Linked DNA regions of Tribolium castaneum. The protein of the gene in region 1 interacts with the protein of each later gene in a biochemical or structural test. Links are inferred from orthologs where the notes say so. Each region holds a gene or a part of one and is shown on either strand. Other genes may lie near its edges.

Evidence for each region. The genes of interacting proteins can lie anywhere in the genome.
Region 2: of the proteins of Lrrk (region 1) and Thor, one has a biochemical effect on the other in vitro, tested with the Drosophila melanogaster proteins (2 studies listed by BioGRID). The link is inferred for Tribolium castaneum from reciprocal best matches to the Drosophila melanogaster genes Lrrk and Thor.

Annotation. Positions count from the first base shown.
Region 1 is NC_087397.1:4,499,640-4,503,342, forward strand, and holds part of Lrrk (leucine-rich repeat serine/threonine-protein kinase 1), read right to left. Parts: coding exon 3,551-3,703; intron 2,225-3,550; coding exon 2,052-2,224; intron 2,003-2,051; coding exon 1,413-2,002; intron 1,367-1,412; coding exon 890-1,366; intron 840-889; coding exon 509-839; intron 1-508.
Region 2 is NC_087399.1:195,853-198,985, forward strand, and holds Thor (eukaryotic translation initiation factor 4E-binding protein), read right to left. Parts: upstream 1,761-3,133; 5' UTR 1,693-1,760; coding exon 1,551-1,692; intron 973-1,550; coding exon 761-972; 3' UTR 546-760; downstream 1-545. Other genes in the region: glyceraldehyde-3-phosphate dehydrogenase, read left to right, coding at 1-179; NFU1 iron-sulfur cluster scaffold homolog, mitochondrial, read left to right, coding at 2,732-2,805, 2,855-3,133. UniProt on the Drosophila melanogaster protein: Repressor of translation initiation that regulates eIF4E1 activity by preventing its assembly into the eIF4F complex. Hypophosphorylated form competes with eIF4G1 and strongly binds to eIF4E1, leading to repress translation.

The DNA of each region.
Region 1 (3,703 bases):
CTGTACCCTTTTTTGCATCTTGAATCAAAAAGTTGCTTCAAACACTTTGTCATAAACAATATTACAGCCATTCCAGGAAAAATGCAACCTCATACCGAAATTTCAAACTAATTTTTGTAATGTTACAGTTCTTCCAAAATACACGATTCGATTTGTATTTAATGTATTTTGCTACAAAAAAGTTTTTAATAGAAACAATCATTTAAATTGAAGTAATATTTGTAAAAGTTACATACTATGCCTTGTAGGCAATAACATAAAATACTGACGTGTACAACTGCTGCTGAATATTTTTTGAAGGATATTTTTGTAGTTTCTGGCTATTTCAAACTATTCGTATAAAGTGAAAATAAAGTCTAAAAATTTTGTGTAAAGTGTCCCGTCAGTTATGGAATGTCTGAATAATAATTAATGTTCTATCTGCCTGATATTTTTTGGTTCAGTTTCATTTTAATATAGTTTTTTTGTCGTTTCGCATTGAAAGTGCGCAAAAATCGGCTAAACTCACTTCAACTGTCGGTAGTAGGACGAAGAGTTGTGCAAAATTTCCCTCATTCGGAATAACGTAATATCGCCGTATTTCAGCTGAAGGCCGGTTTGCCAAAGCACCCATTCAGCCTTCAAATCTAGCAACTTGACCAGATCTAAATCCTGCGCCACCTCTTTCGGGAGAATAAAAAATGATCGTATAATATCAATAATAGTGTCGTCGGCCAAAATTCGTGAAATAAGTCGTGACCAAAACCCTGACGGGAAGTACGACATTAAAAGCAGTCGGGTGATTGATTGGTCAGTTGACGAACTCGTCACTTGATACTTTGCCTCCTCTTCAATTTCTTCTAAAATTTGAGAATAAAACCCCCAATTTTTTAACATTGACCAAACTGACCACTTTTCGAAGACGAAGTCGAAGGCAAACTCATTTGAAACTTGCCCTGGGCGCCCGTATCCCGGTACAAGACCGATTTTGGCGAAACAGTTATTTTTTTATTCCTGATTGCCCATCCGCGTGACCTTAGCGGCACTTTAACCTTGACTAAAGGGTGAAATTGGCCGGGGTATAACTGCGCTAGGAGAATATCCTCTTCCGAGGGTAGAAGTGACGGGATTAACAAAGTGCGGGAATCCCAAGTTAGCGCAACTTCGAATTTATTCAACAAATTGACGATATAACCACGCGCATCCATTGGTCCGATACTACTAGCTTTAAAAATGTGCTTGAGATCGTCAAGTTTCATGACACCGGAGCGCGCAAAAGGATTAATCTCACGAATGGTAACAACATGTGCTAACATATCGCACAGCCACTGGGGGTCCAAAAAGTAGAGATCTTTCAAAGTTGCATCGTCGTAATGCAGCAAAACACCTGCCATAACCATGAGAAATGAAAAATTAAAAAATTAAATAAGTACCATTATCGTGCAAAAATAAGGTGGCTTGGTGGAGCTCAGCCCAGTCCCTGAACACCCGATTGAACCGTTGCTGCATTTCCGTCGTTACAATAGTCCGGTACTGTTCGGCATTCAGGACCGGGTCAAGCCCATTGACCCGCCGTTCGGCCGCGATGTGATTAACCACATCCTCTAATGCCAAGTACGTGGCCGGTACTTTTTGTTCCAACAACAATTCCTTGCTTCCTGGTGGCCGTAAACTGAACACGGTGTCGTAGATTAAATTACACAGCAACTTCACGTTGTGTCTAGTCCTGCAGCTGATTTCAATCGTGTCCAGAACTCGAGGCAAGCCGCATTTTTCCGCATCAACAATATTGATAAACTTGTCGCGAATTAATTGCTGGTACTCTTCCGAGATGTTAGGGTTACATTCTTGCACCACGTCGTAGTGTGTGCCGACTATGATTACAGGAGAGTTTGGTGCCCGGGCTTGGATGTTAACAAGCCATTGCAAAATCTCGTTGATGCCGCGATGGCCGTCGGTTATTCGCCAAACGACCAAATATAAGCTTCGTTTTGATAAAAAGTACTGATGGGTGGCGTAATATCTGGATTTGAGTGGTAATAAAAGTGGGATTGAGGTGTTTTAACACTTACTCTTTTTGTCCACCAAAATCCCACGTTCTGAAAATTACAGGACCGTGTGATGATTGATTACGGACTTTTTTTTCATACACCCAATCGCCGATATCTACCCCAACTGTTGACATATTTGTGCCTCGAGAGGTTTTTACGTTAATATTTTTGTTTCCCATGCGTTTGGCCCAGTGCTGAAAATGGGCAACTTTGGGTAACACTTTTCACTTTACTCAAAATAAATGAATTCGTTTTACTTCAAGTGTTTAATGAGTAATTCGTAAATACCCTGACCAGCATTTCTCCTCCCTTTATTTTTTTTATTTATTTAAATACGTTAAAATTAACGAATAAATGAATATAAAGCTCCGTAAAAATTATATTAAACTGAGCTGGTCGATTTGAAATACGTATGGAGATGGCTTTAACTTAGAAAACATTAAACCAGGAAAAAATTTTCATTGTATTTTAGTCAAGTTCTTAAATAATTATACCTAGAAAACGTTAAAATTGTTTAATGAAACTTGAATATAACAACAGAATTGTTGTTATATTGTCGTCCACCCAATACAATAATTTAAAAGATGTTTGTTTACAAAATTTTGGATCAGCCTTTGTTTGCTTTATTTCTCCTTTTGCTGCGATAAGTTACATAAACAGATTATATTTTTTGTTAATGACGATTTATTCATAGTCTTACACAATTAATGATCTGTTTAATATTATTCAGTTTGTCACTTGCTGTTGTCGTAAACAGACACATTTCTCTATGTTGGAAACATAAACCATGTCGTTTTGTCCAATTTTATTTTCAGTGATCAGGGCGTGTTTATTTCAGTGCCCGTTTTTTAAAATTTCGAGTGGCTAGTGCTAGTGTGTGCCAATAAAATGGATCTTCCAGGGGGAAATAAAAGAAATAATCTGGATTAAAGAGTTAGTTTTCTTTACGTGCTTCTTTAAAAAGATAGATTAAATTTAAAATATTTTAAATTCAAATAATGGCACATCGTATTGATTTAATATTTCTTTAATTTCAGTAGGTCCGTTAAAGAAAATGAAGCTAGCTACAAACGGTAGCAGAAATAGATGCCATAAGGTGACTCCAATTTTTCTTCCTCTTATCATCAAGTGTTACATTATGATTATTTAAGTACAAGTGCAGTTTGGATAAAAATGAATTACGTTGTAAATAAAATCTAGTTCAATATTAAATTATTAATTTATGAAAATCGGAGAAGTAGCAAACTGGGAGCGTTAAAAAATATTTGGTTAACTAGAGGTAACCGAAAATTTAACTGACCTATATGACACCTGAACACGTGCCGTCATTGTTATTAATTTTTCTGTTTAATTTACACAATCACAAATACTTAGACTTTTTATAAATAATTTTTAAAAAGCGTGATTAAACGAAAAAGTAGAAAATTGTCTCAGGAAATATTTGCTGGTCTTGGACTTCACTAGGCTAGACTTAAATTGAGTTTTTCTCGAATGAAAACAAAGTTATTGCGCAGTTTTACCTCTGGCCGTTTCCTCGTTATCCCTTCCTGTCGCAACTGTTCCAACAAGCTCGTTTTCCCAATTCCTTGCACTCCCACTATCATTAATTTCATGCGAGCGTAAGGTCTCGCATCCTCAAGCACCGATTTCAAATAACCCACAATATCCATTGT
Region 2 (3,133 bases), on another chromosome or scaffold:
AAATTGTCTCATCTGATGTAATCGGCGACTCGAGATCTTCGATTTTTGATGCAGGGGCTGGTGTGGCCCTTACTCGAAACTTTATCAAGTTGATCAGTTGGTATGATAATGAATGGGGCTACGCGTGCCGTGTTGTTGATTTGTTAAAGTACATGTCGTCGAGAGAGTGTGATAATTAAAATAAATTATTTTTTGAACTATGAGCCGACCTGTTTGTTAGCGCACCTTGCGTTTTAGTTTTTTAATCGCTGGAGCGGCCACGAGTTAGGTAAAAAGAAAGGTAAGTAAGTGGAGGTTAGTGTTTGTAACGAGATGAGTTTAATTTACTTACTATTAATTAAATTATTGAGTCCACCTTTTTGGTGTCGATTGTATGGTGGCAATTTTAAATAATACAATTTCCGGATATTAGTTCAACAAACTGTGCTAAATAAATCCTTATCGTTGCGATAGCAGTTGTTAGGCAAATAAATAAAACATCCCATTTTTTCTGAAATTTTATTACGAAAAGCATTAAATAATACAAAAGAAAATAATAACAAATCTTAAAGCGGGCATATGTCCTCCCTTTGTTTGCGTATAATTAAGTCGTTGTGCGACTTATCACCATTGTAAAATCCCTTATCAGTTGTCAATTTTCTACGTTTTAACTTTTATAACAATAAAACTCAATCTTTTGATCAGATAATACAAGATCAAGTCTGACTTCGAGTATCCTCTCACAATACAAAAAAAAACTAAACTAGAGAAAAACGTAAAACTAAATGTCGATTTGGAACTGGTGTTCGTCGTGCGAATCTTCAATTTTCGCTGAGTGGTTTTTGGTCGGAGGTGAAAACCGTCTGATGGGGGCGCTTCCATTCGTTTTGCCTCGCATCAAGTTTTCAGGGATTCCGTAACTTGGAGGAGTTTTCGAAATGGGAGAGTTGCGTAAATTCATTAAGAATGCCTTCTCATAGACTATTTTCGTACCTGAAACATGATTCATACGTAAAAATAAGGTTCTCCCGTCGAGAGGCTTCTTCGATAAGATATAGACAAGAGATGAGTACAATTCAGATCCAAGGACTTTTTATCGTGTTGTTTTGCATAATAAACATCAATGAATTGTGCATTTGGCGAATTTCTTAAAATCAAAGACGATGAAGCGGAAGAAATGTGGAGCGACGAAAATAAAAAGCCTTGACACTAATTAATAATAACAAAAGCAAAAACACAAGAACACGAACGTGCGTCTGGTCAAGTTCTCCCGACTTATCAGTGTTGGATTAGGTCAAAGGAATTTTTTGTGAATTTTTGAGGGAAATATTTGCAAAACTGCGTATTTCGCAGCTTGCCAGAATTAACTCATGTTTACTATTATCACCAATGTTTACTCAAGGTCACATTATAAATTCTCCACGTGTAGACAACGCTCATCCGAGTCTTGTTTTTTTTTTAAGTATAATTACATAAGACCACGATGAACTCTAGTCGCGCAGATAACAAGTGGCAAATTGATTATTTATTTATAAATTTATATGTAGATGACTCAAAAAAACATAACAAACCTCCCGGAGTAGTGGAGTAGAGGGTGCCTCCTGGTGTGGAGGAGTAGTGCGATGGCAGTTCAGAAGGGTCGTTGATAAGGACTTTTTTGGTCGGAATGGCCTTACTTTCGGTCACTTGTCTTGCCATCGGTGATGCCGACATGTCGGAGTGGAAAAAAACACGTGCTTAATACTCGAAAACAACAATTTTGTCGTCGCTCACTCAAATTATATAAGGAGCGCTAATCCCCTCCCAAACTGTGCATTTCTCCCACTTTTAAGCTGAAAAATAAACAAATAAACGCGCTTTGGGGGGGATCTTGAAAAGCTTTAAAATTTTCAAGTTGAAACTTTCAACCACCTCCAAGGATTTATTTATTATTGTTGATTAGCATTCAGTCAAATGCGTATTAGGTGCAGGTTTTTTCACATAAATTATGTAAAAAAATGCGTTGTTTGGGATTGTTGGCTGGGTGTGAATTGCGGAACTGCGTTATCAATAATTATTTGATTTCCTCCAATGGAGGAGCAAATGTGAGTCACCGAGTTCGATTGTTTGAGTCGTGCTTCATAAATTTCAGGTATTTGTACGCATCGTTAACCCGAAATCGATTTATTGTTTGATTTACTTTAATACTTGTGGGCATCTGAGACTATTTTTTCATAACCAACCTAGCAAATAGTTTTTTTCACTGATCGAACTATATATGACTCAAACATAAATAAATAAAAAAGAAATCAGTCCCGTACGAATAATAAAGGTCAATATTTTGAAAATTCGTAAACAGAAACGTCAGGAACTAATAAAAACACAAGTAGCAATTATAAATAACGGATTTTATTGGACTGATTTATAAATGTACCCCTGTGGCAATATCAGAATAATTTATCGGATAACTGTTTCAGTTTTAAGAAGACAGAGTCACTTTTCATGATAAACAAAAGCGATAAATAAAAGTTTAATGCCATACATTTATTTGCATTAATTATGAAAATTTGAAAACCGCGCTTTTTATATAAACAGAATTTAAAAAGCCAAACTCTTGCAGTGTAATTTTCGTAGCCTTAAATTTTCCCACCTTTGTGAATTTAATTACCAAAGACATATTGTAAATTCTCCAATTTAAGCAGAAAATATTGACTCAACCAATCTGTCAAATGTCGGTATTCTAACCATAAAATTAAAATAAGCAAATCTTAAAATGTGGCGTAATTCACTTCGATTTTTGGTAAAGTTGCCTCAGCAATCCAAGAAACTTGCTGTGCAGTCCTACAAGTAAGTATTTATGTAAGAAAGAATAAAAAGTGAGGTTATATGGTTGTAGTTCCCTTCAGTGGGCCCCTTTCCGAGACAGTGGACTCCAACGCTTTATCTCAACCACTCCAAAGTTATCAATGTTTATTCAGACTCAAGAGACCCCAAATCCAAACAGTCTCAAGTTTTTGCCAGGGGTTAAAGTTCTAGAGGAGGGCCAAACTATAGATTTTCCTAACGGACAAGCGGCTTATTGTTCACCTTTGGGAAAATTACTTTTCCGAATTGAAGGTGTTAAAAGTGTTTTTCTGGGACCGGAATTTATCACTGTTACTAAAACCGATGATGA